2 linked regions of the Lonchura striata genome follow. The protein of the gene in region 2 purifies or fractionates together with the protein of the main gene of each other region. This does not show direct contact. Links are inferred from orthologs where the notes say so. Each region holds a gene or a part of one and is shown on either strand. Other genes may lie near its edges.

What was found.
Region 1: the proteins of RPL7L1 (region 2) and REXO4 purify together in Homo sapiens (affinity purification with mass spectrometry; 3 studies listed by BioGRID and IntAct, with this or other methods). This does not show direct contact. The link is inferred for Lonchura striata from reciprocal best matches to the Homo sapiens genes RPL7L1 and REXO4.

Annotation. Positions count from the first base shown.
Region 1 is NC_134624.1:7,753,522-7,766,130, forward strand, and holds REXO4 (RNA exonuclease 4), read right to left. Parts: upstream 6,063-12,609; 5' UTR 5,946-6,062; coding exon 5,748-5,945; intron 5,306-5,747; coding exon 4,953-5,305; intron 4,671-4,952; coding exon 4,518-4,670; intron 3,786-4,517; coding exon 3,592-3,785; intron 3,135-3,591; coding exon 3,046-3,134; intron 2,840-3,045; coding exon 2,765-2,839; intron 2,504-2,764; coding exon 2,429-2,503; intron 1,827-2,428; coding exon 1,725-1,826; 3' UTR 1,160-1,724; coding exon of another isoform or gene 1,097-1,159; 3' UTR 1,004-1,096; downstream 1-1,003. Other genes in the region: serine/threonine kinase-like domain-containing protein STKLD1, read left to right, coding at 229-308, 1,097-1,159; ADAMTS13 (A disintegrin and metalloproteinase with thrombospondin motifs 13), read left to right, coding at 6,454-6,519, 6,807-6,873, 7,677-7,960, 8,105-8,246, 8,600-8,739, 9,363-9,446, 9,524-9,648, 9,886-10,032 and 5 more.
Region 2 is NC_134606.1:70,020,809-70,032,862, forward strand, and holds RPL7L1 (ribosomal protein uL30-like), read right to left. Parts: upstream 4,939-12,054; 5' UTR 4,898-4,938; coding exon 4,881-4,897; intron 4,733-4,880; coding exon 4,624-4,732; intron 3,331-4,623; coding exon 3,167-3,330; intron 3,004-3,166; coding exon 2,866-3,003; intron 2,626-2,865; coding exon 2,516-2,625; intron 2,347-2,515; coding exon 2,138-2,346; 3' UTR 2,134-2,137; intron 1,883-2,133; 3' UTR 1,264-1,882; downstream 1-1,263. Other genes in the region: MAD2L1 (mitotic spindle assembly checkpoint protein MAD2A), read left to right, coding at 9-181.

The sequences.
Region 1 (12,609 bases), on a different chromosome or scaffold from region 2:
CTGCTCTCAGGAAACACTTACTTTGTGTCTGAGAAAGTTCCAATTCATCCTCTAAGAATTCACTCCACTTGTTCCAAACAACTACCACTCTGATGGTAAAACATTTTAACTTCATCTTGCCTCCTCCTTGTGTAGCTCTGTCCTCTCCCCTTTAGCCTGCTCCTTTAGCTCCTGCTCCAGTGGCACTTGTGCTATAACCATACATTTTCTTGTTCATTGGCACTGCAGATGAGGTTATGCTGTATATGAGGTCCCAGAAAATGCAAAAGCTGCTGTCTGAAATAAAACTCCAGTTTCCATTTAGCACGGTATGGAGAAGTCTCTGTGATAATAAAGTATATTAGTATATTATTTCTGGTGAGGGATTTGATCATAGTGCAGAAATTTAGAGAATTTACAGCATGTGGGGTGAAGAGTGAGTTTGTAAGGATAGTTCTAATTATTGAGAACAAGTGGTTAAAAGTTGTTTCTTGTTAATGCTGAAATTTTAAAAAATTATATTCTGGTCTCTTGCAACATTACAATAATTTACTACAGTCTTCATGCTAAGCCAGGATAAAGTTTGTAGGAATAAAGTCATAAGTACATTACACCCAAATTATTTTTGGTTTGGAAGTGGCATTGTTAGCAAATTTTAAAAAACCCTTCAAAATCTTTCTGACAGTTTATGGGAAGATTTAACTTAAATTTCACCAAGTAGTCACACTGAAAAATCTAGCAAAGTTATCAGAGCTATTTAATATGTTACACTAATATTTCTTTTGCAATGGCTTGCTGGCAAGAAACCATTAATTTGGTTTGTTCATCAAGCCAATAAAACTGGTTAGTCTTAATTTTGCTGATTTTAGTTATGTATTTACAGAATTGTTTTCAAAAGTCTCCTCCAGGCATTGCCTGAACCCCTTCAATGAACACTGCAGCCACAAGGTAGCACAGAAAAAAAATAACCACAGAAAGAAAGCTCCCTCTCCTGTTGTAACAACAGCCACTTCAAACACCTATGTTGGACACATTGTTTTTATTAATAAATGAATACAAAAAGAAGTGGAGCAACAAGGTAATCTTTTGTTTGACATTTTTTAACATTTCCCTCCAGAAGATTCAGACCCTGGTGAACGCAACACTTTTGAAACTGAGGAAGGAAAAACGTTTTGTCTGAGAACAAGACTTGGCCACTGCTGGATACAAAAGCCTGGATTCTTCATTAGAGGATTCTTCTCACCAGAAAAAATAATAATATTGGGCTAGTAGTAATATGCAAACAGGTATTTATTGATGGTTTGGGTACCACAATGGTGTAACTAACAGCAATATTTAAGAATTCACCTTGTAGTAAGACCTCACTTTGTGGACCTTAACATACTTGAAATAAAAATTTTAATCCTCCAAATTTTGACAAAGCAATGACAGTTTCTTCCTTCATCTATCATAATTTAATTTTTTAACTTATTCAGTGTCTATTTCCATTGAAGAAATTTAACTGATGAAGTTCTTCCCAACTGCAGGCATTTGTTACAAAGGTTGTTTGAACACAGTAGCAGACATCAGGCACAGGGCCCATCCACAGGGATACCAGCGGCACTCCTGAACTTCCAGGTTACTGTACCATTGTCTTTGGATTGATTTTATGAAGCGGCTGCTGTCAATTCTGACTTATCTTTAAATTTGGAATGTGACATCAAACCAGCAAATGCTGCAGAGATGAAAGATTCTACCCTGTGTTTTTAAGTTTTACAATTTTTGTTGTTAGCTTTGTTCTTAACAGCAGCTTCCCATTTCTTTTTCTCCAGGGTGTAAAGTCTCATAGCTGCTTGTGCATCCTGGATCTGAAAGAGAATAGACCAGACAAGGATGTGAGATAATAAGCAGCTAAATCTTCCATCATTTTAATACATCCTTCCAATTAACATTTCATGATCTCTTTTTACATTTAGGTCTGTGCCTACTGAAAGGGACAAATTGTGTATTTAGAGTCCAGGGCTCACCACAAGGCTCTGCATTTCTGATTGTTACTTGGAAAGTAGTAAGAGAATTTTGTCATTGACACAGTATCTATGAGCTCCCCTCCCAATTTTGCTTCCCCAGTTCATTCCTCTTTTCCATCCTCCTGCCCACTGAAATAAAGGATCTGCTGAGGTTCAGGTGTAGCCTCTCTCACTGTTTATCCTGCCACAGTGCAGCAGTGCAGAATGCTGCTTTTAGGGTAAACAGATCTTGATCATTACCTTTCCCCCTGGGAATTTTAACAAGAATTCAGAGTTAAGAGTTAACTTGTGCAGAAGTTGTTTACAAAATGAATGAACAGTGAGCGAGCTTAGATGACAACCTCCCTGCTGCTGCTGTCCAAGCAGAGCTTGCTGAGTTTCAGTGGGATGAAGGCACAGCACTGGCCAGAACCCAGAGCTGGATGATCTGAGGAGGCACCTACCGAGCAGTGCTCTGCTGTCTGCACCTGAACATTGAGCAGCTTCTCACACAGCAGCTTCAGGGATGGCCTGGAACTCTAGAGACAGAACACATCACAAACCATGCTGTCTCACAGGACTTGAAATAACACAGATGGGTGTTCTATAAAAATGTTATATTCTTCAAAGAATAGCACATCTTAGCCTCTGCTGGCGAAATACCAGGAATAATTAATGAATTAGGAGATCTGTGTGTGCATAGGTAGGAAAGAAGGAACAGGGTCAGGTAAAAGTAAGCACAGAAGTGAGTCAGCAGCTCTGGAGTCTGTTAATTGAGCACCTTCCCAGCAGTCTCTTACCTTGACTCTCTGTTTGAAAGGTTTGTATCTCTGTGTGTCCCTGATCTTCTTGTGAGGATGATCAAGAAGTAGAACCTAGAAGAAACCACATTTTCAGTTAAATGTGTTATTGCATGAAACCTTACAGAGTTGAATGCTGTTGTTTCCTCCCAACCAGTGTAAGAGATACTTTAAAGCCATGAAAGGACAAGACCCAGCTCATCTAGATGGGGGGAGGTTTCCAGCTCAGGTGTGTTCCCTTGATCCAGAATGATGTATCACAAACCTCATTTTCAATTTACCTTTAGGTCATTCCTTAGGGCGTGTCCAACTAAAATCCTTCCTTGCAGGATCTCAGCCACCTCCTTCTGAACAGTTTTAAAGTCTTCACCTAAAAATGCCACACAAGGAAACACTTTCCATGAGCAATCACAGCATCTTTTCTGGGAAGCAACTGTATCCTTGGAACTGTAGTTTTTGTACAGTACACTGAATTTCTGCTTGCTAGAACATAGAGAATTCCATAAAGAGAACAGCATAAAAAGAAAATGAACTTTTATACTATATTCCACCAGTTAATTCCTTCAAGGGTATAGAGAATTCTATAAAGAGCACAGCATGAAAAGGAAGTTATTTTTTTACACCATATTTCACCAGTTAATTTCTTCAAAAATGTTAGTGATCACTGTAGAAAAGTACATCTTCCCACAATTTTTCTTAGCATTAAGTTTAACTCAAATCTCAGCATTTTGTTTTCCCAAATTAGGTCTCAAACTGTTCCAAGCTCAGCCAATGAATCTTCTGTGAGAACCCAGTGAATTCTCCCTCTCAGGGGAAAGTCCTGGTACCTGTGTTGATATTCTGAGGCCGGATGCCGCTGACAGCTGTCCTGTAGTCTGTCACCTTCTCCGTGGGCTTGACATACTTGTCATAAACACACTTCCCAAACTGGTTAACGATGGACACCCGAGCCAAGATGCTGTCCTCACCCTTGGGGCCCACCCCCACCATCTCACAGTCCATGGCCACGGCCCGGGTCAGCCTGGAAGGCAAAGGGACAGCTTGGGGACACCTCTGCAGGCCCAGCTGCAGCTGACAAGGTTCACATTTGTGTGAGCAGGGCAGAGCCTGGCAGCAGAGGCAGGGAGATGGCAGCTCACTGTGCAGATCCCTTATCAGAAGCCAGTCTGCCAGCTGATATCATTATTATTGCTGTTTAATTGAAGGGATGGGACTAGAGACAGGTTAAAAACAATTTATTATTCAGATAAACATTAGTCTCAGAGGCTGTGAGATTTATGAGAGTAAGCAGTTATAGCTCAAGAGTAGTTATAAGTTCTTCATTACAAGACAATATATAACTTTCTAATCTAATGGACAGTTGCTACAAAGTTTATTTTGCTTTTCTATTACTTATTTCTACTGCAATGTGTATACTTTTATCTAATGGGCTGTTATCACGTGCACACACGTTTCTATTATAACCACTAAACTCTTAGCTTACTCTCTACAATTACACTCTTACATGATAAACCCTTCACTATCTTATTAATACAGTTTTTTACTTAAGGTATACTCTTACAACTAGAGAAACATAAGTTTATGAGTTTATAGAAACATAAGTTTTTCTGCTTAATGTCTGTGTACTTTAGTTTTACATTAATCTAAGCTTCTTCTAAGGCTACAGATCAAACTTTTGCCAGTGTCTCTGGCAGTTTCTATCTTTCCATTTCTCACACTCTGCTGCCATCCTTCCCCCTGCAGTGTCACTCACCCTTCAAAAGCCTTTTCCTTAACCAGCACCTGCTCCACAGACTGGGATTGTTCTGCTTCAAGTCCCAGGTTCCTTCTGGCAATTTTTGCTGCTTCAGGTCCTAGTGCTGCTTCAATATCTTTGGGATCAACATCATCAAACCAGATGTCAGCCCTGGGAAGAACAGATTTAATTACATTTAACAGCCTCAAAGCAATCTGGTGTCTGTTGTACAAAAAGTATGTTTACTTTCTAAACCAAGAGTTAAATCCTGTGAAATTTAAGTCCGTGACTGGCACCTCTACAGGTTTCTTGCTGTGTCTGAGGAGCAGGGGCAAAATGTTCCTTATTTCTTTCAGAATTTAGTCTGGAAAAGTGTAGCTGTTTGGAATATACCTCTCTGTGCTCTTCCCAAAATAAATACTCTCATCCAGAGCTGCTGCCTGAAATACTCACTCTTTGGGCTGCTGCTCCACGTGTTCCTCAGCTTTCCTCCTCTTATGTTTCAGCTCATCCTTCTCCTTCACAACAATGCCATTTTTCTTCTTTTCTTTGCAGCCTTTCTCATTGCTTTTAGTGCAATTTAAGTTCTTTTTTGCTGCAACCCCCTTGGATTCTGGCTTGGCCAAAGGAGGACTGGCTTTAGCAGAACCACTGTCCATTTTATTTGTGGATTTGGCCTTTACCACATTCCCATTGACTGCTGGGATTTCTGGGTTTTTGGCTGCTTTGAGTGGCTGCTTCTTTTTGGTGTCTGTTTGACCCGTGGAGATGGGCTTCTTGGAGTTATTTGCCTTTTGTTTCAGCAGCTAAAATGACATTAAAAAAATAAAATAAAAAGATAGATAAAGGAAAAGAGCCTGGAAAAGAGAAGCTTTAGAGTGACTTAATTGTGTCCTTCCAGTGCCTAAATGGAGCCTCCAAGAAAGGGAGAGAGGAACTATTCACAAGAGCCTGGAGTGACAGGACAAAGGGAATGACTTCAAACTGCCAGAGAGCTGCGTTAGGTGGACATTGGGAAGAAATCCTTCTCAGTGAGAGCGGGCAGGCCCTGACACAGGGTGCCCAGAGCAGCTGTGGCTGCCCCTGGGTCCCTGGCAGTGCCCAGGGCCGGGCTGGGACAGTGGAAAGTGTCCCTTCCATGGGGACAGTGTGTCCCATCCATTCAGGCGCTGCTGCCAGCATGGCCCCGCTGCCTCCCTGTCCCAGCTCCCCGGGGCTGTCCCCACCGCATGCCCCGGTCCCCCTCACCTCCTGCAGCGCCTTCCAGTTGGAGGAGAACTCCTGCGGGTTGCGGGGGGGACCCGCGGCCGCCATGCCGGGGCCTTTCGAGGCGCCCGCCGCTTCCCCCAGGGCCTTCCTCTTCTTCCTCCTCCTCTTCTTGCCCTTCCCGCGGGCCGCACCGCTCGGCCCCGCCGCCGGAGGCTCCGCAGGACTTTGCTTGGCCATGCAGGGTCAGCGGAACCGGGATCGGGATCGGGATCGCGGCGCAGCGAGTCTCACCCGGGCCGGCGCTCCCGCAGGGGGACCGGCCCAGCGCCGCACCGCCCCGCCGGGGAACTCCGGCCCGCGCTTGGGTTCCGGGGCGGAGGGGGCGGCGGTTCCAGCGTTCCGGGGCTGGGGGATCGCGGGGTGACCGTCCCCCCTCCATGTAACCACGGGCGTGTCCGCAGGGCCCCTCGGCCCCCGAGCCGCCCCTCGGCCCCCGAGCCGCCCCTCGGCCCGCGGGGCTGGCGCACAAGCTGGAGAAGCCGCGGGCATTGCGCGAGGGCGGCCGCGCCGCAGCTGCCGGCGCGTCCCCCGCGGGCCGGCCCGGGGCGCGTTTGCTCGGGCGCTGTTTGTTTGCCCAGTCGCTGTTTGTTTGCTCAAAGGCTGGTTCTGCTCTTCCCTTCCGCTCCACGTGAGGCCTGGGGCCAAAGCTCTCGGTGCTCGGCCGGGAGGGCTCGGCCGGTCCGGCATGAGCGTGAGCTGGGCGCTGCGGGCGCTCGCCGTGCTGCCGCTGGGGCTGTGCTGGCTCCCTGAGGTGAGTCTGGCCTCCGGGCGGCCCTTCAGCAGCGCGGCCGAGAAAACCTAAAACAAACAAACAAAAATCTATAAAAATAAAAATAAGAAGAGACGACCCGCTTCTAAGCCAAACTCCGTCCGCGCTCGCTAATCAGGAAGATGGAGCTGCTCCTTCGTGGAGTAAAGCCGTGAGGGTTTGGCTCTGGGACTGCTGAGCTGTTTGCTGTTGTTCCTTCCAGGTCAGCTCCAGCGCAGGGATGGCCTCGTGGCCATTTGTTTTTGCTCTTATTTTTCTTCTTCTTGCAGAAATTCCTCGGCGCTTTGGATGGGGAAGATGTTCTGTCTTACTTTGGAACCAGCTCAGTGCCTGATGGTATGCAGGGCTCAGTGTCCCCCGGTTTAGAGCACATCTGGCCGGTGGTTTGTAACCCTGTGTGGTTGGCAGTGCTAATTAACAACAGATTAACAACCCCTGAAATGACCAGCATTTGGTGTTTCTGAGTGCAAGTGAGACAACTTGGGTTCAGTGTGAGTGGATGGAGAGATGTCTCAGAGTTTCAGATCCCCTCAAGGAGATGTGTCCAACCTCTTTGCACATTTCTGCTGCACTCCCCATTCTCTGTATGGGTGTTTTTCTTCTGGCAAAAGCTTTAGACTAAGGATAACTTTAAATACATGTTAATTATTATTATTATTTTTTAAAATAAATGCACAAAGAGATTTGAATTCTGGGTCTGGATTGATTGATGATAGTTCAGAATAAAGATGTTTTGAAGTCTCAAATCCCTAAAGGAAGGGTGTTGTCTCTTTGTGAGTTCACCTAGTGCTCATCCCAGTGTCTTTGCATTGTGATAATTCCCACTCAGTAATAGTTAAAAGCTGCAGGAAAAAAACTCAGCCCTTTTTTAGATGAAGTGTTCTCCTTATTGAGAGAGCAAAAGCTGCAATAAATTCAGTGCCAGTTTCTGTGTGTGTTCCCAGTCAGATTATCCTCACTTTAGAATACACAAAAGCACAGAAATTCTGTGAATGGCTGTTGCCACCATGAGCCCAAGAGGCCACAGCTGTCATTTTTAGGGTATTTTTCCTGGGGAAATAAACCTTACACTGGGGATTTGTGTAGCATCCTTTCTCATAACTGCTCCCCTTGTTCTGGTCGTGTTTCATTTCTTCCAGTACCTGAGTTTGTGGTGGCTGAGCCCGCTTGCCCTTGTAAAGAAGAACATTTTGGGCTGAGGCCCTGTCGGGTCCAGCACTGCTCCATCCAGGCCTGGGGGCAGCTCTATGCCTTTGAATTCCTAGAGGACCACGCCCTCCTTTCCTCCTCCTTTGTGAGCAGCCAGGTGGTGAACTCTTCCTTTATTTTACTGAAGAGATTCCCCAGGAGCTGCTTTGCAGGTGGAAAAGCCCTGCAGCCTCCTGGGGCCAGGAGCAGAGTCACTTTCTGTGAAGGGCAGCTGGTGAGTATGAGCAGGAGCAGCCTCTGGGGTTGGCAGCTTCATGCACCAAACGTGTGTGAACCATCCACTGAATAAACCTTTGCCATCCCCATGGGTAGCAAATATCTTTGGAATAACACAGAGGTGCAATTTTGTCTGCTTCAGCGAGGAGTGGTCACCGTGGGTGAGGAGAAGGTTCACATCAGGCCAGTCAGGAGCAAAGATGTGGCTCTGCTGAAGGACCTCGGCTTCTCCAGTCCCCACATCCTCTTCAAAAGTGCTGCAAGAGAGGCAAAGCCAGCCAGAGGTAACAGCCATGGAGAGGGAGCCCTGCTGGAAAAGCTGTCTCCTGGAGCATTGCTTCCATGAGCTCAGAGGAAAAATCTGTGTTTACAAAATCACGAGTAGACTTGGAAAGGTTTCTCGCCTCGCCGAGGTGTGCCTGGCGTGTCTGATGTGGCTGGTTGTTATTTTGATAGCACAGTTGTGTTGCTAAAGCTGCTGGCAGGTGAAAAACACCCCCAGAAGTGGGAAAGCTGAGCAAGCCCCTGCAGAGGTGGACTTGCAGCTGAGTTATTGCAGCCTCTGGGGAGAGGGAGTGGATCTGTAGGACCTTTCATGGTGCATTTGAACCTCCTGGTGTCCCTCTGTGCTGTCCAGCAGGGTGGGCTCCTCCTCGCCTGCGCAAGAGGGCTGAGGCAGCTGTCAAACATCTGGAGCTGATGGTGGTGGCAGGGCCAGATGTTTACTTGTACCACAGAGAGGACACGGAGCGTTACATCCTGGCCAACCTGAACATTGTGAGTGGCTCTGTGCTTGGGATCCTGTCCCAGGCTGTGCCCCAGGCAGCACCTCAGGGTGCTTGGGGTCACCTGTCCCTGGCACAGAGCTCATGTGCAGGGCATTCCTCTGTGCTTCCCTGGGCATGAAATCCCCCAAATTCCCTTGTATAATAGTAAAAGAAGATCTTAGAGGATTTAAAACCCACAGAGAAAATGTAGCTCTTAATTTAATTACTAATGTTGCAACACAGGTAAAGAGTTTTCTCACCCTGTTGCTTTCAGTGGGATTGAGCTAAATCCACTGAATCCATTTTATGTTTCACATTGCACTGTTGTATTTCTGTTGCAGAATTTTCATGTCTCTTTTTTTGCTGTTATTAAGAATTTTTCTCTGTGTGTACAGCAGAAAAGCCTTTAGCATTCACTCTACCCTGTGAAACTTTTCATGCAGATTCTTCTCTCTGCTTCAGAGTATCTGACAAATCTAACCACTTCTCACCTCCTGACGGATTTTTTAACATTTGTAGTGCATATGTTAGTGTTGTAGTTATCTTTGTAATGAGTGCAGCCCAGTTCTTGGGAACTGGGCTTGGGAGTCCCTAAGGCTCATTGTTTATTGAATCCTTTCTGTCTCTTCTTAGGGAGCAGAGCTGCTCAGAGATGCCTCACTGGGGGCTCATTTCAGAGTTCACCTCATGCAAATGCTGGTTTTGAGAGAGCCAGAGGTAAGGGGAGGGCTGTGTTTGAGGCTTGCCCAAGCTCCAAGCTGTTTAGAATGTGCCAACGTGTGCCTTCCCTCCAGGCAGAGGTGAACATCACCACCAACATCACCTCCTCCCTCATCAGTGTCTGTGAGTGGAGCAAGAAGGTGAACCCCCAGAACGACTCTGACCCCCAGCATGCTGACATTGTCCTCTACATCACCAGGTGCTGAGCTCCCTGCCCTGGGAGGGACTGGGAAATAGGATTAGGTTGTTTTATTCAGTTCTGCTTGTCTGAGGACATTTGGTTTTTTAATGCGGAATCCTCATAAAATTGGAGCAGTGGGCACTCATGTCAAAAGAAATGTTGGATAGCTGGCAAAGCTCAGATAAATTCAGCTGTCTGACTTTTTTAGCTGTGAGGGTTCTTTGCTCTTTCCTCTTTATGTCTCCCTTACTTTAGGTTTGACCTGGAGTTGCCTGATGGGAACAAGGAACTTCGTGGAGTGACTCAGTTAGGGGGAGTCTGCTCCTCCTTCTGGAGCTGTGTCATTACCCAGGACACTGGCTTTGACCTTGGAGTCACCATAGCCCATGAGATTGGGCACAGGTCAGTAGGAGACTGCCAGAGCAGCCCAGTAGGTTTTATTCAGGGTAAAACACCCTCCAGTTTAAGAAAGAAGCAAAAGGACCTCTTGACATAAAAGGGAATTCCCCATGGATTATTCTAACCCTTTGGGTCATCATCACAGATTATTTTCGAAAGAGTTCTTTGGATTTCTTGCATTCCTGCATGTCCTGTGACAACTGGAAGCTGCAAAGAGGAGAGAAACCCTTTGTGACAACAGTAGAAGGAAGGGCTGCAGAGGGAGCTCAGTCCTTGCTTAGAGAAGGGAGGCTCTGAGGGAATCCAGCCTCTGGGTTTCTTCTCCTCAGGGCTCTGTTCTGCTTCTGTTACAGCCTTGGCATTGCCCACGATGGAGAGGGGAATGTGTGCAGCAGCAGTGGTTACATCATGGGCTCAGCAGGAAACCACAACAGCATCGACCTCACCTGGTCTCCGTGCAGCCGGGAGCAGTTCCTGGCCCTTGTCAGGTAAGGGAATGGTTGAGTTCTTCAGTTCCCTATGCTGGGGGCTTAGGAGAGAAAAACTCAGTGAAGAAAAAAGTTTATTGAAAAATGAGGAACAGTAAAAAGCTTGGGGTTTGTTTATTTCTTAGCACTTGTTGCTGAGGTTAAACCCAGTTTTTGCTTCATGTTGCTGAAGTGGCTTTGGTTGGTGCCTAACATGCCTGGGCTGGGTTGGATTTCTCAGACACTGGCTCAGCCTGCACATTTTATTTACAACATCAGAGCATCCAGGCACTGCAGGCTGTGCTGGCTGGGTGCAGGACAGGAATGGGATAGAACTCCAGCAGCAGGGAACTGTGAACATCTCCAGGCAGCTGCTGCAACTAAATCCATCCCAGCCCACAGCAAGCATATGTTGTCTGGGAAAGCAGCAGCCAACTCCCAGAGTGAAACTCAGCACAAGTCTGCAAGCATGTCCTTGTCCTCACTACCCACAGCTGGGAAAGTTATTCCTCATGTTTTTATCAGTACAGGCCAAACAAGCTGCTTGAATGACCTGCCGGACATGGACGGCAGCATCCCGGGGTGGAAGCCTGGCTTGTACTATGGAGCAGATGAGCAGTGTAAAATTGCCTTTGGGAGTGTGGCCACAGCTTGCACCTTTGCTGACACCAATGTTGTAGGTAGAAAGTTTGTCTGTCTTGCTAAAGGCAGCAGGGAAATGTTCAGGAGCCAAAATTCGGGAGAACTGGCTGGCAGCATTTTTATTCTGAAAGGATTGAAGGTGCTTTTCTTGGCAAAGCTTTCAAAATGTTTCCCTTCTCTTCATCACCTCCTTCCTCCACATAAATCTCCTGTAAGGTTTACACAGTTGGGTGCTGTTGTGCACAGCTGGCAGTGCTGGGTGCACCCACTCAGGGTCCTGCCTTGGGGAATTCTTGTTCACTGGATTCCTCCAGCTTCCCTGCCATGGCTGAAATCCCTTTGTCTGGGAAGCACAGCGTGTTTAATAGCTGCCATCTGGACATGTTTTGTTAATGAGAAAACACTAAGGTGGGTGAAAATTTAATTGCTTCAGTTGATCATCTTCCAGCATTGCAGCTGGTGATCACTACAGTGATGATCTTTTGACTTGCCCACAGCTTTTGCCCAATAGCAGGAAAAGTGAAGGAACTTGCATTTTTGGGTGTCTGGGAGAAAACCTGGGATGTGCCCTGTTTAGACTTTTGGGACTGTGTTGTTGAGCCTGACTCCCTGAACTCTCTGATTTTCTTGTCACACCAGGACATCTGTAAAGTTCTCTCATGCCATGTACAGCCAGCAGACAAATCCAGCTGTACTCGGCTTCTGGTTCCCCTCCTGGATGGAACTGAGTGTGGGATCAACAAGGTAAGGAGGCTCCCACCAGGAGTGGGTGTGGGGGCTGTGGGGCTCAGACAGAAAAGCTCTGTCAGTGTCTGGAAGGTACCTGGCACTCACTGCCCCTTGGCCAGGGAGCTAAAACGAGTCCTAAACTGGTGCCATTATGTCCTGATCTTGGTCTTTCCATCTTGTCTTTATCTCTGGAGTTGCTTTGCAGTTCTACAGCCTGATACCTGAGCTCTCCTACTGGAAATGCCCTGCCTGCTCTTTGCTTTGACCCCAGCCTCATGTTAGACCCTAATTAGGAAGGGGACTCTTCAGCCTCTTGTCAAAAGGTGCCTCATTCACCCCAGGACTCTGTTACTGGCCTGCCAAAGATGGGGACTCGTGCCAACCTTTTAGATCCCAGCCCTGCTGTGCTCACTGCTGCCAGTTCTGTGTGTTCTTGATCCTAGTGGTGCTCCAAGGGTCAGTGCAGCTCTCTGGAGGAACTGAACCCCATGGCTGTGGTCCATGGGCACTGGTCTGCCTGGAGCCCCCTCTCCCCCTGCTCCCGCAGCTGCGGCGGGGGGGTGGTGCTGAGGCAGCGCTTCTGTAACAACCCCAGGTGAGACGTGGGGACCTGCCTGTGCCCAGGGCCTCGGGGCTGCCTCTTCCTCTTTGCCTGGGACAAACCTGCCTCTGTTGAGGAATTCTGTCATTTCCAGGCCTGCTTTTGGAGGGCAGGAGTGCCACGGGGCCAGCATGCAAGCAG
Region 2 (12,054 bases):
GCTCCCAGGTGCCTTTGACTTGCTGATCTACACGGATAAAGATTTGGCAGTGCCAGAAAAGTGGGAAGAGTCAGGACCGCAGTTCATAGCCAATTCAGAAGAGGTTCGGCTACGTTCCTTCACTACCACAATCCACAAGGTCAACACTACAGTGGCTTACAAGAAGGATTCTGTTCCCTAAGATGCTGGGGCAAGTTTTGTGTGTGTAAATATCCTGTCACCTTGTATAGTTTCTGTTCATCATGCAGCTAAGCTATGAGCACATCATTACTGTCCTCTTGATAAAAGTATGACAAAAAGACAACGTGCATGTCTGTGATACTGTGACACTAGACTAACCTGGCATTTTTAAAGAGATTTAAAAAAGGTACTTATGGTCATAGTTCAATTCTTACTTTACTGTATGTAAAATAAGCTAAACTAATGGTGTGTTAAACCACTGCCTCTGCTAGAAAAACTGCCTAAATCTAGGATTAGTTGCTAGAGTTGTATTATTCTTAAACTGCATTCTGTTAGCAGTCTTAAATTCTCTGTAGCAACTAAAATAATCTCATTCCTAGTGTGCCAGTTTTCATGTTAGAAGCCTGGGCTGTTTTATTACCAGAAATAACCCTAAAACAAATCAACCAAACAATTCTTGTACCACTCTACAATGGTAGCAGCTGTTTTATCAGGAAAACTTTAAACACATGAAGCCTTCTATTTTAATGACCACTGGGCTCTGGTTCTGGGGACACAGTTGTTCTGTGTACGTCTGTAGTGTCTGTCCAGCGTTTTCTATGTTTCTATTCTTGGTTACAGAATAAAGCTTCGGGTTTTATGTTCTCTAATTGAGAGTCTACAGTTCTTGGTACTTCAGATGGTTCCATGAATGCTACATTCTAGTTTATAACTGTCACACAAGCAACACCCAAGACATCCTCCTTGTTACTTAACTGTTTCCTTCCTGAGTCTCCATGTGGTGTGGACTCTGTATGAAATCCATTAATGGATTAACACTTTGCTCCCACCTAAGTTTTCAAGCAACAGTTTAAACAGTCACAGTGAACTAATGACACTGCCTTCCATATTTGTTAAACAGCACTGGACTCTTTCATGTGTTCTTACCATTTCTGTAGTGGAAGAAATTAGGGATTTAAATCTCTGGAACTTTCAGACTTACATGGTTTTGTTCACTTCCTTCACTAAATTCATTCCAGCCAGAGTGTTTAACTGGTTTTTCCACTCTTTTACAGTGATGCAGAACTTTCTGTTATAATAATATAATTTCAGAATTTTATTTAAAAAACACAGATTACATATACCCTATCCCAGGACTGTATTTCTTGCATTTTCTTATTTCCAGGAAATACTTCTCCCCAGCAGTCCCAATACAGCAAAAGAAAAAAAAAAAAAAAAAAGGCAAAAAAAAAAAAAAGCTCTTTAAATCAGGACCACAAACCCTTAATTTTTAAAAAATAAATACAATCCAGGTACTTAACAAGTGACATTATTCACGGCTAGGGCTTGTGCTGCAGTAACAGAGCATGGTGTTTTCTTTTTTTTCTTTTGCCTATCAGCACAATTGTGACTGCACTACCCCTTTCACCCCCAGAAGCACATCAAAGAGTGAAGTCTGTAGTAGTGTGCATAAAAAACACTTATTTTACAGAGATGCAAATGTGAAATTGCTCCAAGAAGCTCATTCTTGTACCAAAGAGAATTTATCTTCTTTAAGAAGGGCCAGCCCAAAGTCCATCTCCATCATCATCTTTGTGTTTCTTCTTTTATAGAGGCACCAGCAATCAAGAGAAGTTGCATACAGATCACTGCATGTAGATAATGTCCACAAAAGGTACATGTGAAAAGGAACAGGTCATAGATCCCAGTTTTCACAAAATCCCTGCAGAATAGGGAAGAAAATATAAAATAAAGTCATATTATCTCCCAGGAGCCAAGCCTTCATGGAGGTGTCCAACTGCATGTGCTGATCCTAAAGGGATCACTCTTGATTAGTTTCTCCTACTCTGAGGTCAGTTTTGCAGAGTGACAAAACCAAGTGAGCACCCCATTCATCTTCAATGGCAGTCTGGTTGTCCTTAGGACAGGGAATGAAGGGTAAGCTTCAGAACTAACCCAGCAGGCACTGCTCACCTGACTAGTTGAGCTGACGGATGAGCTGGTTGATTGCATCACCTCTGTAGCCAGGCTTGCCCATCTCCTTGAGGAAACCCACTCTGTTCCGTGATGCGTGGCGAGCCACTGACAGGTGGAACGGCCACAGAAAGCTGGTTACTCTTTTGAAATACTTCCCAGTTGAGTAGATTTCATGAATAAGGTCTTCCAGGCAAATGATATTACAGCCCCCTGTATGAGGGAAAAAAAAAGATGTCCAGCTGTATAATCTTTCCTCACACTGCTCCAGAACTGCCAGTCCTCCAGTTTGACAAGATTTTGTCTGTCCCCACCCTTTCAGGCCAGACTGTAAACTCTCAACACCTAACCCTTTCCTCAATTTTCTCACCCTCTTCCTCACCTAAATGTTCCTCTATCAGCATGTTGTCTGTCAGAGGCACCTTCTTTTTCTTGATCTTGGCTTGGCCCCGTTTCAGGATGAGCTCTCGTACAGATTTCAGGTTAGGCTGTCTGTGCAGAAACAAAAATCAGATCCTGTAACAGAGAGACATGATGCAGAGGGACACCCATACCACTTCCTTGTGCAGAGGTGGGAAAGTACACAAGTTATGTCAAGAACAATCAGAACAAAGAAAATAGCAAGTTTTTAATACAAAGTTGATTAAGTTTTGACCATGATTGGAGAAGTAATGGATCTGTGATAGCAACTGGAGAATCCAATGACCCCCAAGTCACAGGAGGGGCACGTACCCCCACGCCACATAAGGCTCCACGATGCGCAGCATCTTCAGCGACAGTGGGCTCAGCTTCACAAATACCCCGGTATAATTCTTCCTCAGCCGCAGCAACTCAATCACTCTTTTCACCCTCTTAGTCACTCCCTTAATACTGAGGAAAACAGAATTTATTAGTAACCACATTTTTCTAATACAGCAACTAAAGGCCTCAGATCACCTGCAAGGAGACATGTCTAGGTTGATCCCACTGCCTTGGTATGGAAACGACACAACAACGGGTAGCAACAATGGAAGGAGTAGGGGAAGGCTCTTACTCCACAATCCTCACGACGAAGGCCAGCTTGCTCTCCTGAGGTGCCACTGCCTGCCCAGGCCTCTGCTCCATGCGCCTCAGCCGGGTGTCATCCCGGCGTTTGCGCCATGAATCCCGAACAAAGGTCTCCAGGCGCCTGAACTGGATCTGTTTCCCCTTCTGCTGCTGCAGACAAAAGGAAAACAAAGTGAGGTTTGCATCTGAAAGGCCAAATGAAATGCAAAGTAGTGAACAATGTCCTTACAGCTTTGGAAGCAGTAAAAAAATAAATTTGATTATCTAAGCCCAAGGGAGACAGAACTGAGGGACAACATGAATTTATACACAACTATTATTTATGAACAGTGAACAAAGAGTTTTTCCCTAGGAAAAGTATAAGTTAAGGAAAAGACCTGGGATACTTCTAGGCATAGCTACAGACAGAGCTCAGCAATGGCTGGGAAAGCCAGAAACGGCATGTGGGCAACAGATATTTAAATGTCTCTCTTTACCTTAGGAATGAGTACATCCACCAACACTCATAGTGTTTTCTCATACAAACAGGACTTGAAAATGCACAGCATTACACAATGATATTTAAGATACTCTACTGGTTAAATTACCTGGCCACTTTAAAGAATCTAATGTTGTGTGTCTTCTGTTCTATTTCACCTTGTAAATAACCCATTAAATTCGTTTGAATTTTCAAAGCATGGAGACCTAATAAAAGTCTCATCACTAAGATCCTTTTTAATGAGAATCTTAAGGAGTGGCTATGTAATATTACTGCTTATGCTCCCACCTTGGAAATACAGCAAACCACTGATGCTTTTAAAAATGTAAACATGGTATCAAACAAAAATGGCAGGAGTTTTGCACATCCCACAAGATTCACTGGAAATCTTTAAGACAGACACCTATTGTATTAGCTGTGACACAGCACAACAAGTCTCAGATTTGGAATTAGAAAGGTTTGCTGTACTCTGCTAGTCTGGAAATGGCACGATGTGCACAGGGTGTAGGACATGTGTCACCCCACTCGCAGAAAAAGGCTTCATCATGACCAGTGCTGCTCTAACAGAAAACTCTAAAGCCGCCCTCAGAAAAGGACGGCTTCCATGCAGGGTTTCAACACAAAGGTGGTTTCAGGCAGTGAAATCCCAGGGCAGCAGAGATAGCGCTGCAGTTTCCCACATGTGACTGCAAATACCTGACCACCACTGATCCAACAGGAACAACTCACAGTCTTCTATATATTTCTGTTTCGGTGTAATAACCGGTACAATTCTGTCCGCTTTACAAGGCTCAAAGGAGAAGATGTTGAGGGACTCAAGTCCCCCTCGGAACCCCGGAATCCCGCGGCGCTCTGAGGGGCCCGACCACTCGGGTCATTTCCCAGGAATTTCAAGGAATTGCGGTTCCCTTCTCCGGAGGGGGAGCTGGAGCTGCAGGCCCAGGCTCTGCCGGGACCCGCCGTACCTTGCGTTTGTTGAGCAGCGCCTGCTTGGCCTGGGTGGCCTTGATGGCCAGGTACGCCTTCCTCTTCTTCAGCAAGTTCTCCGGCACCAGCGGGATCCGCCGCTTCGGCCTGCGGGCGGGACAACCCGGTCACATCCCGGCCCCATCCCGCATTCCCGCATCCCGCCCCTTCCCGGGCCGGCTCCGTGGCCGCCCCCAGCCCGCGGATGGCGGCGGATCCCGCATGCCCTCCACTCTTCCCCCTACGCCGCACTCACTCCTCCAGCTCCGCCATGTTGCCGCGCTGCTGCCGCGCATGCGCGGGGGCGGGGCCATGGCCGCTGCCCCTCGGGAGCCGCTCGCCGGCCCGGGATCGCGGAGTGCCGGGAGCGGGATGGAGCGGGATGGAGCGGGATGGAGCGGGATGGAGCGGGATGGAGCGGGATGGAGCGGGATGGAGCGGGATGGAGCGGGATGGAGCGGGATGGCGGCGCTGCCGGCCCTGCGCTCGCCCGGCAGCCACAGGCGGCGGGCCCGGGAGACGCGCGGTGTGACCGGCGCGTCACCCGCAGGTGGTGCCAGAGCCGCGCTCTCGGCTGGGTGCTGGTGGAGATGTGTTCCTGGTGTGCCGTGCGGGATGCGGGACCTTACAGCCCGAAATCCTTCTCATTTCCACTGACCGTAGTGTCCTCTCACCGGTGAGGAGCTCCAGCCTTGCCGGGAGGTTCGGTCGTGCCAGGGTTTCGCTGCTCACCTTGGTGATGCTGCAAACCTTTACAACACTCTAAATGAGCCCGCTTCTGTTTTGACACCTAAAACATGAAAATCCGTATTTAGCAACTCGATCCCAAATGCCAGGAAGAACAAGCCGTCGGTGATCAAACCCAGCTCTCATATGCATTCTTTTTTTTTTTTTTTTTTTTTTTTTTTTTTTTTTTTTTTTTGCATATGACACACAAAGCAACAAGCTTAGGAAATAAATAATCTGAAACTTTTCCCATAACTACACAATTTTCACCCTGACTTACAAAAATAGCTGGAATCCCTCGTAGTTCACAACAGAGAAAGTGGCCCATTTAAATCTACAAATGAGTGTGCTTTGTTGAACAGGAGGGAAATGCAAACAGGCTCTTGGGTATTCCACCATTAATGGCCAGGAAGCAATAAGTAAGTAAATATTTGAAGTGCTGTTGCTGTTGAAAAGTCTCCCAGCACAGCAGCATTCCGAGGCTGATTTGCTGAACTTCAACCAGCAGTTATATTGTTTTAATGAATGGATATTCAAATGTCCCTGTTTGCAGGGATACCCAAGAAAAGTGTTCCCACTTTCCTAGACAGCAACCTGCTGTACACTGGCCTTCAGCACTCTGAATTCCCACACACAAAATTTTAGGGCTCCAATTCCAAAAGCCAAGTCAGGAGATGAGATGGGATGTCAGAGGTCCATGGAACTTCTTGACTTATTTTCTCATTCCATGGGTATAAAACTCCATTAAATTAATTCCAAATCCCACAAAACCTTTATTGATGCTGTATGCAGTCTCGAAACAGCAAGAGGGCTTTAGGTCTATCACTTTCATCATTGAACTATGCCCTAGTCTGAAATCTGTTTGTAATAAATTCTTTATAAAAAGAGCCAAAGAAATTAAATTTTGTTTATTTTACCAATGATCTAATCCTGAGAATATTTTAATAAGGAAAGTACCTTGAGATTTTAAATTATGCCTATTTTCAGATCTTTTAAGGGAAAAGTTTATACAATTAGGACAGATGTCTGGAAATTACTCCATGCACACACTCTAACCAATAATTAATAGAGAGAAAAGTTGGGTGATCCAAGACTTTCTTTCATGGAAACAGCAATCATATAGAGATGGACTAAAATTTCATTAAAATATTTTTAGAAACACTGTAGATAGATGCATGGGTTTATTATTTTCAAAATAAGCTTCCTTAAGATGGGCCTTTTTGTCAGTAATCCTGCAAATTCACTACAAAAGGAGCAATGTGGGTATGAGACTAACATAGATGGGTCCCCTCAGTTAGCGGCACCTAATACGTCAAATTGAAAAGGCTAAAACATAAAACTTGTCTTTGTGTCTCCCTAGAAAAAAAATTGAATGGGGCAAAACAATTCATTCTTTAGTGCCACTAATTTATCAGCAACAATGGAAAATATTCCAGTTTCAAAAGCTCATTTTTACAGTAACTGTTGTGAATAATTCCCTAGAAGAAAATCAGACTACTAATAAAGCCCTGGCACAATTTTCAATTATTGTCCCTGGAAATGTTATCTGAAGTTTTAAGTTACAAATATTAAATTACAGATTTATATCTGTCAGAATGTTCTGACATATTCTGAAAGAGTGGTGTTACCTATTTACAAGTTTCCAAAGTGAAACAATTGTAAGAATTAAAATGTAAATTGATTTTGTTTTACTTCTAATGCACTTGTAAAGGCCTGGCTAATGACCCCAAAATAGAAAAATTGTTTTTCGATTGCAATAAACAGCAATGAAAATAATTTATTTCTCTGCTTTGTCTATAAGAGAGTGTACATGGTGGCTGCAATTTGAGTGTACAACAAATTTAATTGTATCTTTAAAGAACAGTGGAGATAAAAATAGACATTATTATATGTAGTCTCCACAGGTCTCCATGACCTCTCTCCTTCTTCCACAGGGACAAAAAGCTGCATTGTATTTGGGAGAAAGATCAATTATGTCTGAGATGAAAGACAGTGAGAACAGAATAGGAGTCTTTCCCACACTCAGTAATTGGGAATCCTACCTCCTACTTTTTAATTGAACCTTCAAGATAATTATGCCATTTAGGTTGTGGAAGCATATTAATAAGTACACCACAGCATAAACTATTCATAAAAATACTACAGACTGGGGAGCCATAAAAAGAGATGGAATGGAATAGCCTAATTAGGAAGTTTATCATGTCAGTGTAGACAACTCAATAGGAGATGCTTTGCATAGACAGATAATGCTCTCTGTTCTAAACCTCAGTGGTTCTCCTACAAAGGTGTTGGGTAGTGGACGATAACTTTTAATCTATTTTTCTTTAAAAATAAGCATTTAATTATTTTTATTTTATGGCTCTGGTTACTGACACAACTATGTAATATTCTTTTGCAAGTTCAGTTTGGGAGACTAGGGAAGAAACAGGCAGCAGTTGTTTCAACAGAAACAGGAATCAGAAAAGGATTAAGACATCATAAGTGAGAAGTGACCTGCAGTAATTAATATAAAATCACAGCAGTTTCACAGGCTGAGCCCTGAAGGAAGGTGTGGCCCTGAGTGCTGACAGTGCAATAGGGCTATAAAGGTCCTCTCACTTTTTTTCCTGTTAATTTATGCAGGGAAAGTTCTGATTGGAATATTTGAGTTTGTCTGCAATTATTGGTGACAACTGCCCAGATAAAGCTACAGAGCGTCAGTATTTGGCCAGAAAACACCAGGCAGAAAAACACAGAGAGAAGGAGTAGGAGGGATGTAAGTGGTCACCTGTAGCTTTTTCCCAAGAAAGAGGCTGTGTCCCTACACACAGCAGAAACAAAGGAAGGGAGGAGGTAGTTGCAGGGTTCTCCTCATGGCACAGCAGATGTTATAAGTCTGAGTGCTAAGCAGTGAAACAGCAGATAAAAATCAGTAAATAAAAGTGCAGCAATGTTTCACAAATTTTTCTATGAAATGATGGGTTCAAGGTAAGATAATAAGATTGGGAGTAGGATTTTGGAACTATTAGAGATAGATAAAAATATCAGCTTAATGCTTAGGACAACTGAACAGTAATTGAAAATTATTAGAGAAGGGGTAAGGAACAAAGCAAAAACTGATTCCACAGCATAGCCTCTCACACCCGCATTTTGAATGCTCCAGCTTTGGTCGGTCATCTTTCTTCCATCTGTCCATCTCATACCTCCACCCACCTTCCCCCAAGACAGACTTGGAAAAGATTCAGAGAAAGAAGATCAAACACAGGGAATAGTTTCCATCTGTGGAGCAGTTATATAGACTGGACCTGCCAGCTGGGAGAAAGGTGCTTGAGGGAAGATAAAACAGTCAGTAAAATGATAAATTCTGGGATTCCTCTTTCAGCACAAAAAGGGAACCTCCGATGAAGGCAGCAGGAGGCAGGTTCACAGGTAATAATTTGGGTTTTTCAGCACATGAACTTGGATTGAAGACCCAGACCTCTTAGCCACCAGAGGAGTTACACATTCCAGCCGTGTGTTCCTGCCCACCTCCCCTGCCCCCAGTGGATGTGGCCTTTCTGCTAGCTCAGCTCTAAATTTTCCATTCAAATGAAATAGATCCCATTTTATATTTGCCCTTGCTATTATAGCCCAGCATTAGAAAAGGCAGACAGAAATCAGTTTCTTTGCCTGCATACAGAAGGGCTCATTTAATCTGAATGCATGCCCTTCCCTGCTCAGCTGCACCGTGTCCCATTTTCCTGCCTTTGAAGTCCACCCTTTCCAGTCTTTAAAGAGCTTTGGATAAATGAATCCTGTTCCTGCAGTGATCTATTATCAGCACTGTCTAAAAGCGAGAAGGATGAGGCAAATTTGCCAAAAAGCTGAGGAGAGGTGGAAAAAGTGAGAAAGGAATCAATATCTGTGTAGCTCCAGGTAGCACTGCCCGGACCACAGCAAGCAAAGCCCAGCTGCTTGGTTCCAGCAGCTTGGAGCATCATTGTCCAGCTGTAACAGTGATCCATCAGCTGGCAGACTGAGACTGCAGGGGCACTCCATCACCTGGAAAAAAGGGGGATGAGATGAGGGGAATGCCTCAACACGAATAAACCACAGGAATCCAAAGAAACTGTGCTGCTCCTCTGTGCTGTGCTCAGCAAGACTTGGTTCTTCCCTGAGAGTTTTCCATAACCCCTGGTGGAATCAAGGCATTTCTATATCAGATGCTGTGTTCTCACTTCTGAGATAGTTTCTGACCCAAGAGACATCCTTAGGAAGAGCTCCTGAAGAAAAAACAGGTCCTGTTTCTAAACCAGTCAGCAGGATAACAAGCCTGTCTTGCTAGTTCAAATTTTCTATTCACATATTAATTATACTGTAAATTATTTTTGATGTATTGTATAGAAAAAGTAGAAGAGTCATCATCTTTTTTTCCTACTTTTTAACAGTAAGAGTAAGCTTCTTTCTGTCAGTACACAAACCCAATAGTGAAAGAAATCACTCGGATGCAGGTATGCTTCAAACAAATGTTAATTATCAAAATAATCAAATAATTGTCAAACTCTTAATTCTCAAAACAGCATCTCCCACCTTGGCATATGACACACTGAAGTTGTAGCTGAAAAATGCTGGAAAACATATGCTATTTTTTTTTCTTTAAACCAATTTTGTCAAGGCACTGCCTACTCTAAGAGTTGGTGACGAGGCAGAGCTAATTAGGCAGGTAGGTTTTATCAAAGAATAGAAGGCTCTTAAATCTGCAGCAGAGAGAAGAACCTGACCTACTTTGTGTATACCCCTGGTGCTTTTATTTCAGGTGTTTTCACAGTCTTTCTAAATTCCTCATATAGCCATTGTAGAAAGGCTTTCTGTATTTTCATAGTGCTTAATTGAATTGCTTTAACTCAGGTTTCAGCATCTCCCTGTCAAAGAAAAATCATTCCTCACAGCCTTTTAGACAGGAGATGGAAATGAATACCTTCAAACACACTACATTCCCAAATCTTGAAATCTCTATGCAGAAACAATTTAACCTGAAGGAATGGGAAATGATGGCTTCTGCATCTCCCCTTCCCTTCAGCTCCAGACTGGCTCCCTTTCTGGGAGATAAGCTTGAATGAAAACACCTTATCTGCAGGATTCACTGTAGAGATAACAAGGTGCAGCATAATGACTGACCAAATGCACTGCTGCAATGTGATTCTGCTTCTGGTGTCAGGAGGGATGTGGGCAGGAAGAGGTGCCCATTCCAAGGTTTGGGCTGGGGCTCAGCTCCAGGGATTTACCACAGCTGTTTCCAGCTCCTGCCAGGGCAAGCCCTGGCACAGTCCTCTCCTTCCCTTTGTATTCTGATTTCTATGTGGAAAAAGTAGACATGCAGGACAGGAAAAAGCCAGAAAACATTCCTACCACATCCTAGTGAGGCCTAAGAACTGCAGACTGCATTGCAGCACAGACCTGTATAGCCCAGGATATGCTTTGGCCCCAGATAAGGATTTCATTCAAAGAGGTCACTTCTTCATGGATACTTCAAAACCTGGAAGGCATTGCTGGAATTCAACCCTGTTATCTGTTTGCAATCATCTGAAGATGCCTGGATTGTGTGGTGTATTATTATTATTATTATTATTATTATTATTATTATTATTATTGATCACCCACCAGATTATTTCAATAAAAATACTTCAGATGATGAAGTATATTTGTTTTTGAATTCCTGACATCACTTTAAAGGTTTGCTTTTCTGAATTTGCATTGTGGAAGTGCTCCCTTGGGCTTCCTTGTATTTTTTTTTGTTGCTGATTCTCTTCTTCAGTTTACAAGATACTACATCTACAAGCTGCTTTCTGCATAATCACATCTACCTTTGAGGTGTGGACACTTCTGCCAGAACACACGGGCTACTTATCACTGCCTTCTTTTTCTACAAACAGAAATTCACTGGCAAATTAATGTAAAGTTTCCTATATGGAGCTAAAAGGGAAAATTGGGGGATTTAGTGGAAAAAAGGGAAATATTTTTTTTCTTCATTCACCCTAATTAAAATTAATATCACTTTGGCTCCAAGTAACCCCGGTGACTGTAAGGAAATGAGTAGTTCAAACCAGCAGCTCGCTGAGCTGAGACACTGCCACACATATGGCCTGTGTGCTCACGGACTGTTCCTGAGAAGAGCCCAGATGGGTTACAGCAAGCAGAGACAGCCATGCTTTAGCCCCACTTGTTGCTGTTACTAAATTGTTTCTAAGTTTCACTCTATTTCCAGCTATAAGATACTTGTCCATTGTCTATTTTCACCTTAGCTACAGTCTCTTCAGCTCAACTGTAATTTCTCAGCACTTTCTTGTAGCCCCTCTTTTAATGACACAAGTTTTATTATACAAAGAAGCCTGAGCAAGGACCAAGGACTGTGCATCTTTAACAGACTCCTCCAAACACATCACTTACTGCAGCAGTGGCATTAATATTCCCTGTCACATCTCACAGTCCTTTGGGAAACTGCACTATCTGCCAGTAAAGCTTTTCTTTACATTATTCCCTAAGTGGTCACTGAGTGTTTCACACAAATACATACAACAGGAAATATTCTTCCTGTTCTTTTATAAATTCAATTTTGAATAGAAATATCTGTTTTGTTGTTTGTATGCTTGATATGTTCTGTGGCTGCTGCTCATAAGTTGTGAAATATTCTCTTTCATCCCTTCTAAATTCTATTAAAATCTAGTGCTTAAGTTACTGTTCCCCTG